Linked DNA regions of Caenorhabditis elegans. The protein of the gene in region 1 purifies or fractionates together with the protein of each later gene. This does not show direct contact. Each region holds a gene or a part of one and is shown in the gene's direction. Other genes may lie near its edges.

Region 1 (5,553 bases):
TAGGAGTAGTTTAAATAATTTAGAACAGCAATTATTCAGAAATCAGAATATCCATAAGTGGGTGTAGTTGAACTATTGGAAGAATACATTATGTTCTAAAGTTTGGTTTTTCATTGTTCAACTACATCGTTATTCAAGAAAGCTCTTCCTTGTTCTGGGAATTTTCCAAAGAACAGAATATTTTGGACACAGAAAAAAATGGAAAAGTAGAAAACATTTAAGATGATAAGCAGGCAAAGTTGCAACTCCCGTGCCTGCCTCATTTTTTTAAAAGTTCATATAAAGGCAAATAAATATGTTTTTAGAAGTTTTCCAGATTTTTAAATCAAAACGAATTTGACTTTAAAAAATTTAAAAAATTTAAACAATACTCAAAATCAAAACACAATGTACGTAAGAGTTGGCGTGTTCAAAATGGCCTACTAAGAAACATTCTAAAACCATGGAACTATGTTGAAGTCCTCTTTTCCATTTTTTGTCTAGTTTTGCAAACTAAAGCTAACGACGTCATCACTGTCAAGTTTCCACGAAAAAAATCTGAACTTTTTTTTGGAAAAGACTCATAAGAGAAGTCTCTAAAACGGCTTTAAAAACAAAATAAAAACAAGAAAATAGTTCTAAAAATGGCGAAAATTGCTGCCCGGGGAGTTGATGATGTTGGAGAAATATTAGAACTTGTTATCGCCCTTTAAAAGAAAAATTCAAAAGTTCAATTCTCAGATTGTTATGAAACTTTTTATACTTGTGAATATCTCTTGGGAAAAGACATATGCTGAGCCTAATTGTCCTGGCAGGAGAAATTTCGAAAGATGAATCACTTTTTTGTCTGAAGGAGATGACCTACTGGGAAAGCGAAAAATATGATTAATTGGTAGAAGTTTCGAGAAGGAAAATGTGAAAATGAAAAAGGACAAGATGAAAATCTATGGCTCTGGGAATTTTTGATTTGTTGGGGTGAATAAAAATTGAGTTAACTCCATTTCAAATTTTTTATAACTGAAACGAAGAATGGCCTCTTTCGAGTGCTCAAAAGACCTATGAAATCATTGTTCGGAAACCGACACTAAAGCTGCCAACTTCCAAATAAAGGTCGTGGTTGCCGAAAATTATGGAGTTCGGAAACTTTGACAATTATTTGTTTAGAAAACTCAGAAAAATTCAGAATATGTTGAATCACTCTTTCAGATAAAAAAAAATCTAAAACAAAAATCTCCTTTCAATCTAGAATCCCATCTAAAACCTAAATAATGAAAAAATAAATTACTTGACTCAAGATGAAAGATTAAAGAATAGCGAACATGGCAAATCTCTGAAATCGCATAAATGTCTACAACTGAAAAATGTGCCCAAAAACAAATAAAGTAGTAGGTAGCGGAAGATGAACAAGAAGAAAACCTTCCTATTCACAAAATTTGCCTGCTTTCCAGTTGGTCTCCAAAGTGTTATTTATGTCACTACTCCATTTCTTTTGCATATTCTATGAATTTGGAGAAAGGAGTCAAATTCGAGCTGTTTAGAGCCAAAACAAGTTAAAAGTATTCAAACATGATCTGCACTCGTTGTGGCTTAATAATTAGTACAGGGCCGGCCATAATTGTATATAAACTTTTGTTTTCAGGGCTACTACTCAGTTTAGCTAATGAGGTATGTAGTTAGAACAGCCTTATAAATTCTTGAAACAAAAAAATCGTTTGTAGACTTTTTCTTGCCGAAGTAGGCTTCGTTTAATATAGTTGTTCTTGAGTTATAAGGATTGCAAGATACACTGTTAAAAAAAAAACCCGTGATATGTCGCAAACTTCTGCCATAATTCTCTTCGTCAAATATTCTGATACTATAAAAATGAGGGCAAGATTATGAGCAAGAGTTTGAAAGCCAAAAATCTTTTTTCAAGTGTCTAGCTTCGAACTCATTCAATTTTATGCCAAATAAAGTTCTGAACACGACGTTTGTACACAAGGTTTGCTCCAAAAGAGCGAGCCAATAAGTAATCACGTTCTTATGCCAGGAAAGTTCAGCCACGCAATGCCTTCTATTTTTTAAAAATAAATTCCACGTTATTGAATATTTTTCAACAAAAACACTTTATTACTTCAAATATTCTTTATGAATCCAGTGGATTTTATCAAAAAACCAAAAGAGAACATAATGTCGAAGTGAGTAATTTTTACTTCATTTAATATTAATAATCTCCCAATTTCAGAGATCAATCTTCAATGTTATTCTTTAAAGATCCGGAGAACAAAAATAAAAATCATGTGTCACATGTTGAAATCGGAGTTCCTGATCCAATCGAGGAACTGCAAAAACTGCAAAATCGTCCAGAACCATGCACCGTTCTAGCTGTCATCACGACCCTGGTCATCCTGGTGCTTCTCATTTTTGCTCTCGGAGCGCTGGGTCTCCATGATATTTCGGCGTTTAAATGGGAACCAAAACCCCAGAAAGCACTGAGAATTATGCTGGATCTACCGTGTCAAACAAAGGAATGTGTAAAGTATTCAGCTGAACTGGTAATGGTTTTACAATATATAATCACATTACAAAATATTTTCAGCTTGAATTGATGGATTCTTCGGTGAATCCTTGCGAAAACTTTCATCACCACGTGTGCAATGGCTTCAATCCAAGAAAGAAAGACTTTGAGAGACTCATGAAATTGATCAATATTCAGGAAAAGCCTGATCATCGAAAGGCAGTTAATGTTGTGAGGAGAATGTTGAGCAAATGTGCAATGGGAAAAACTGAAGAGATTCATCAAGTTGGACGATTGAGGTAGGCAGTGGACTTTAGAAAACCTCTGCTGACTCAAGAAATTTTTTCAGCTCAATCATCCTCCCTGGTCTTCCATTCCCGCTTCTCAACAACTCATGGACAAAACCATCTGATCCTATTTCTACTTCAAATTCATCCACGACATACAGTTACCCATTCCTTACAAAAATATTGGCTCATATCATACTTCACAACCCCGATGATGCTGGATTTGTAGGAATCAAACCATCAAGTGACTCTGAATTCTCGTTGTTCGTCGTCAAACCGTTCTCACCTGTTCTCACAAACTTTAAGTTTCGGAATATGTACGATATTTTGAAGCGAAATGCACCGGAGAGCTCCACAAACGGAATGATAGATCTGGAATTCGATAGACAAAGGCAGCTGAATGATGTGATCAAGCTTCAGACAAAATTGGAAAAGGTAAAAGTTGAAACGTTTAAGTAGAATAATAGTAACAAATTTATCTCAGATCGAGTTCAAAGCTGACCCAGAAGTCGTTAATCTGACTGAGATTCAAAGACAGATGCCAATAATTGATTGGAAGAGACTGATTGATTCCTGGATTCCGAATGGCTATGCTCACCTGAAAGAAAAAGTATATGGCTTCAATACCAGTTATTATGAAGAGGTGAAACATAATTTTCTAAAAATATCTAACTCTTTTTTTTTTCAGATAAATGCGATCATCTCATCTACACCTTCTGAAACTATATACAACTTTCTTTTTCTTCGCTTTTCGTTCAAATTCCTTCGAACAGAAGTAGCATCTGATCTGGAAGATACTTGTCTTCATCAGCTGTCAACAACCATTCCTGGAAAAATTGTGCTCTATGGATCCGAAGAACCGGAAGCATTGAACCTTCTAAATGGAATGCTCCACACAATTAAAGATCAACTGAAAAGATCGTTAGCTACATTGAAATGGATGGACAGTCGAGGAATCGAAGAAGCACAGAAAAAGTTTAATAAAACGAAAACAGTTTTTGGATTTACTGGAGAAGATTTGATTGATGAGCTTGTTGGGAAGATAACACCGGAGTCCAATTATATATCAACTCTTCAAAATGTTCTTCTTTGGCAAACCAGAAATATGTTTAAGTCTGTCGCAGAAAACAATGTGACAGTGTTTTTGAATTCGGAAGTTTTCTATTCAGTTGAGAAAAATGAAATAAGTAAGTCTTTCTCTGAAATTCTAAAAAAAAAGAAATTTCTTTCAGCAATTTCACGAGCTCTTCTCCATTATCCTTTCATGTCTGCAAACCTTCCAAACTATACAAATTTCGCAACTATCGCGTCCAAAATTCTTCCCCAAATGATACACATTTTCGATGAACGTGGCAGGTTCTACGATTCGGACGGGAATCATCGTAATTGGTGGAATACTGAAACAGAACGATACTTCCAAATAATAGTACAATGCTTCGATGGGATGATGGTAGGAAAAAACAAATTAGTTCAAGACCAATAAGTTATTATTCAGCAAAACGTCTTTGGCGTCAGCGTCAGTATTGGATGGAATGCTTATGATTCAACTAAAGAACCATATGCCACGCTCCCAGGAATCCAGCAATCATCAGATGAAGCTTTGTTTTTCTACAGCATGGTGAAGGTATGCGGTCTAATTAGTAAATTTTAACATAAAACAGTCGTTTCAGACAATGTGCACCTCGGATCCGGATAACGTGAATGAAGCTCTAGCGAGTGTTCCACAATTCAATTCGGCGTTTAAATGTAACAACGGAACAAAGATGAACCCTCCGACGAAATGCAAACTGGCTTCATGAGTACTTAGTTTTCAATGAATGTGTTTTTATTACATAATAGACTAACAGCTTAAAAAGGAGTCGTTAACATTATAACAGATCATCATTCAAACTCGGAAAGACTCTCCGACTAGTCTTCCCATCCGGTCTGGAAATAAACGCCAAGGCGATTGGAAGAAGCGAGGAAGTTTCATTTTTTTTGTGGTTGGCAGTTTACGAAAACTGCATAATATTGCGATTTTTCAAATAGTTCAAAAAATGTTACAGAAAAGTGGGCTTAGTTCTAGAAATTTCGATCGTTTTAACCAATGTTACACTCGGTTAAAACAATTATCAAGTTTCATTAATAATAAATAAGTAAACTTTCTTATTAGCAAAAATCATCTTCCTAACAATTTAATGAAACGTGACACTTTGAAAAATGCGAAAATTAATATGAAACATTGAATAAACAAAAAACACAACAAATCGATTTTCAATTATTTCGTTTTTTTACCGATTACAAAAATCGGAATCGTTGAGAAAATGGATTCTCAAAAACTACGCACAGAAGGAACCCGAGTGATTGACATCGTGGCTGATTATTGGTATGGACTAAGGAAAAGAAAACCACTTCCCAATGTGAAACCTGGATTTATGACTGCTTTAGTAAGTTTTAAAATTCTCTTTTTTTTTAATTATTCACTTTTTAAAGGTTCCATCAACACCACCAGAAGCGCCGGAAGAATGGGAGAAAATCTATGGCGATTTGGAGAAAGTGGTTTTTAATCCAGCAACTCACTGGAATCATCCACACTTTTTTGCCTATTTCCCAGCCGGACTTGCTTATCATTCAATCATGGCTGATATTCTTAGCAGTGGACTTTCTTCAGTTGGATTCTCGTGGATGGCGTGTCCTTCAATCACTGAATTGGAGAAAGTTATGTTGGATTGGGTTGTCACTTTGATGGGACTTCCCGAACATTTCAAGAATTCACACCCGGGCCCTGGTTGTGGAATTATTCAGTTCTGG
Region 2 (4,490 bases), 1.2 Mb from region 1:
TTACTGTCTTCACCATCCATTCTACTGCTGCTCTCGACAATGATCCTTGCACTGATCCTTTGGAAACTCGTAACGTACTGTTCAAGTACGTAGAGTTGAGAGCAGACTCTGAAATATCTTAATTCAGGAGTGTAGAGACTCCTGTAAAACAAACCATCTCGAAATAATCTCAACGTTTTCAAATCCCACTTCAAACTTTCATCTATTCTCCCGAATTCCTTGTCAATATCAATATCGTTGGCACCATCAAGAATCTCAAATATTCTAGATATTTCATAAACTGATTTTCCAACGACGTCATGATTCTAAAAACATTGCATTTTTACAATTATTAATAAAAGTTTTCCCCACTTGCATCAGTATAAAATAATCCCAATCCGGTAATTTTACCATCTTCTCCATGCATTTGTAGTGTGCTAAATTCATATTATGACCCGCTGAATCTATTCGAAGTTCTTCTGAAACTCTAGTTAATTTAAATTATACATATATTCAATCAGTATACCATCTATTACAAATACATTTGGAAGACATCTACCAAGTCTCCTAATTCTCCATTTAAAATCATCTTTGCTTTTTGAATCAATGAAAAAGCAAAATATATTCTGTGGATGATATGACATTTGTACTTGTTTCTCCAAAAATTCATAGTCTTTATAGACAACTCGTGCAAATACAACACCAATTTTCAACGGCCTCAAATGAAAATTGAATGGAATAATTCGATTTTGAATTGAATAACATGACATATCTAAACTCTCCAAATTTGAGCTCAGGGGTATTCGATGCTCACCAATAAACTTTTCGATATAAGACTGAAATTTTATGTTTTTGGGTTATTTTTTAAACATTTAAATATTTAAAATTACTAACTCTATCATTTGCCAAAATTCTTCCACAATCCAAATGAGCTGTCTCTTTGCGTCTCCATAATATATTAGTTTCCTTTGAAGTCCAAAAACTCATTGTTATTCTAGGTGCCATTGAAAAGATCACAATTGTACAAACAAGCATTGTGAGTAATAAGAAGAAGAAGGTCCTGGAGTATTTGGAGCACATTTTGGAGAAAACGGAAAAGAATGGATGACAGATGGAAATGAAAAGAGAAAGAATGAAGAACCAGAGCAGACATTGGAAAGAATCCAAACATTTCATTCATTTCAAAACATTTACATCCACTTGGGTCTCACACTTTCTTTTTTTGATCTTCAAAAGTTGAGGGTTCTTGAGGGTTATAAATTAGTATTCAAATATTTATTTTTGTTTGTTAAAATTGTTTTTTTTTGTTGTTTGATCGAGAAAAGTACAGTCATATTTACAGATGGTAATTTGTTTAAATGGATACCTTCGCATTGCAGAAAACAAACTAAACAATTACCGTTTTTGAATTCTGGAAAAAATAAAAAATTGCTCTCATTTTCCTATTTGTGAAGGCATTATTCCTTGTTTAAAGTTACATTTTTCATAAATCTATTTGTAATATTTAGAATCGAGGAAATAGTTTTGAATCTTCTCATCTTTTATCTATCTATCAAATTGGTAGTTACCAGTAAATCGAATAGCCTTGAACTATAAAACTGGTAATTCTTAATAAGGAAACTAAAAGGTATTCATCCTTATATTTATCTAAGATTTTACTTCCCTCCGTTTAATTCAATTTTTTTCAAAAAGTCACCTTTTCAATAGCCGCATCAATTGTGCAATAGGTTCAACAGACAATATAGTTTGATTGGATAACAATTTGTACCGGAACAAACTGAGAAGATAACCCTATCATATTGGATTGACCCACCCTTTTTATCAACAAGCAAGTGAAGGAAATTTATTGCATGTTCGTTTTGAAGGAAAATATTCATTGCTACAAGTTATTTTTATCACAATCAGTGAATAAAATTAAAAAAAGATATGTATTAATTTTTTAAGCAAAAATATACTTCAAAATTCAATTTCATTATCATTTCTGCGCGCGGAACCAAAAAATTTGACAGTTTTCTTCAAAACCCAATAAATATCTGCCTTTAATATTTTTGTATACATAGATGAAAACTTTATCAATAAAAGTTTTGGCAAAAAAATACAGTAACCAATGCTGATGAAATCAACTTCCACGGAGTTTCAAGTTCTCTTGGTTTGTGGTGTCTCAACGAGAAAAGCAAACGCGCTCCATTGTTACAGAAAAATTGTGAGTTTTTTATTTCTCATTTTTGCTTCTTTTCAAGCCAAAAATGCGAAGTTTTATATGGATTTTATCATTTTTACAAGGTAATTTCTTATTTATTTTTTGCAAAAAACTTCAATTTCAGTTTGCCTTGCCGGGCGTCTTCAAATCATTTTGCCAAACGACCACATACTTGATTCGAGAAATTCGTCTTTCGATTCAGTTTCATTATTAAATTTCAACAAGAATGCTTTTGGACTTGGTGCTGCAGTTGGAGGTAGGTAACATTTTATTAATATAAAATGTTTTATTGCCTTATTTCAGCTCATCAGGCGATCGGCGATGAAAAATTGTTCCAAAAACCGAAGGCGTTGTTGATAATCGTTATTGACGGACTGGAAAACTTTGATTATGACGGACATGCTTTCAATTTTACGGATAAATTCCAGCCAAATCAAATTCAAGAACATTTCAAACAACAGTTTGGTGATGATATGATTCACGCCGAAGTAAACTCCTCTGGAATATTTGGATCATCGTTGTTTAAAAGAAATACTGAGGGAAACCATGCTAATTACGATACTTATAAGGAGGATCTTCAAAATATGTATCGACTTTCGGATGCAATCATGGAGAAAGATCGAAAAAATGCCAATGTTGTTGACTACTACCGTGTTCACCTTGACGTCTCCAATGCGCGAACAGATATGGAAAGAAAACAATTGGCAGAAAATATCAAGCGAGGTATTGATACATTACAAGATGCTATCAAGAACAGTTATGGCGGGAATGTGGTGGCTGAAATCTATACTCACGAGAAGCCTGATAGAGATGAGAAGGCTAGAATTAAGCTGTTACAAAAAGTATTGCAAGTGACTCAAGCTAGATATATCGATTATCCGGCAAGTGCGGCCATTATGATGTTTGTGGGATTCTCCCTTGTCTTCGTAAGTCCCATGTTAATTCATTCTTTCTAATAAAAAATTAACTTCAGGCGGCAGTTGCGATGTTGTGGTTGATGTTTGATGAAAGTGATATGGCCAAGAAAACGATCCTGGTTCGACTATCGATGGGTAGACAGAAGAAAGATTAGAATTAGATTTATAAATGATTGTAAAAACTGTATTTTCATAATTTATTTCGCTTTACGGCTTTACGGTTCTTTTTTTTGCATTTTTGACTAATCGCTTTCCGGTATTTGTTGCCATGTCATAAAGACTTCAGCTTTATGCATTTGAAACACTATCAGTGTATCAGGTTCTAAACCTTAAGATATCTCATTTTTAAATTTATCAATGCAATCCAACAGTATCAATTCAGAATGCTAAAATCGGCGTCATCGTTGGTGCGAAGTTTCATAAGGCCGCAGACATTCAGGTTATGTAGCTCCAGTTCAACCACGCAGGGATCTCCTTCGGTTAGCTCTGACGATGAGCCCGTAATTTTGGAGAATAATCCATACACAAAAGAGCCACGGAAGTGCCTCTTGTGCTCAACTGGTGTTGAACTCGATTACAAAAATTCGAGACTTTTGCAGGTACGAAATGTTTTAAACTGGAGCTCGGTAAAATCCAATTCTTTTTTTCAGCAATTTGTTTCCACATTCTCTGGGCGTGTATACGATCGTCACATCACTGGACTTTGCGACGAGAACAAGAAGAAGCTGATTGAAGCAATCGCGGTATGATGAACTGGAATAGAGTTAGATAAACGATATTCTTTATTCAGAAATCGCGTCGTGCCGGGTTCATGCCAATCTTCGTAAAGGATCCAAAGTACACCAGAGACCCGAAATTGTTCGACCCGCTCAAACCAATTCGACCACATTCGTTTGCTTAAAATATTTTGTTTTTTTAAAATTACTATTACTGTTTGTTTTTATTTTTAGAATATAAAATTTTCTCTAGACAATCTGTTTCTGTGAATAGTCATCAAGTTAGTGGATACTCCTGCCCACTTTAATACCGCTGGTGATACTAATTAGTAAAATTTTATTTTACTTAAAATTCAACTATTTTTAGATTATGGGCGATGCTGAGAGCGAAATTCAAATTCGCGCATATTGGAATCGACGAGCTGAAAATGTCGATGGAGATGAAAGTGTGGCTGACTTTCTAGCGTAAGCATGAATTAAAAATGTTTTATATATCCTAACTGTTTCGATATTTCAAAAATTATTTACCTCGGGTCTGCCTGATTACTCCTAAAATTAACTATTTATATCCCAGGTATCTTCGAATCGTGGATCAAAACGAATTTCAAATTGCCCTCCCAACTCTGTGCATTGTAGCTGCCAAAGATATCACGGATTCGAGAAAGAAGGAATTCGAAG

What was found. Proteins that work in one complex are often made in the same cells at the same time.
Region 2: the proteins of nep-5 (region 1) and T14B4.3 fractionate together in Caenorhabditis elegans (co-fractionation; one large-scale study listed by BioGRID). This does not show direct contact.

Annotation. Positions count from the first base shown.
Region 1 is NC_003280.10:5,486,045-5,491,597, forward strand, and holds nep-5 (NEPrilysin metallopeptidase family), read left to right. Parts: upstream 1-2,099; 5' UTR 2,100-2,106; coding exon 2,107-2,156; intron 2,157-2,203; coding exon 2,204-2,513; intron 2,514-2,557; coding exon 2,558-2,775; intron 2,776-2,825; coding exon 2,826-3,198; intron 3,199-3,247; coding exon 3,248-3,406; intron 3,407-3,451; coding exon 3,452-3,950; intron 3,951-3,995; coding exon 3,996-4,213; intron 4,214-4,258; coding exon 4,259-4,387; intron 4,388-4,433; coding exon 4,434-4,562; 3' UTR 4,563-4,594; downstream 4,595-5,553.
Region 2 is NC_003280.10:6,732,725-6,737,214, forward strand, and holds T14B4.3 (VWFA domain-containing protein), read left to right. Parts: upstream 1-2,212; 5' UTR 2,213-2,225; coding exon 2,226-2,262; intron 2,263-2,303; coding exon 2,304-2,435; intron 2,436-2,482; coding exon 2,483-3,105; intron 3,106-3,152; coding exon 3,153-3,251; 3' UTR 3,252-3,386; downstream 3,387-4,490. Other genes in the region: T14B4.9 (Core-2/I-Branching enzyme), read right to left, coding at 1-108, 155-305, 352-458, 506-815, 874-1,059; mrps-18.C (28S ribosomal protein S18c, mitochondrial), read left to right, coding at 3,480-3,695, 3,747-3,839, 3,887-3,997; T14B4.1 (tRNA/rRNA methyltransferase SpoU type domain-containing protein), read left to right, coding at 4,183-4,277, 4,387-4,490.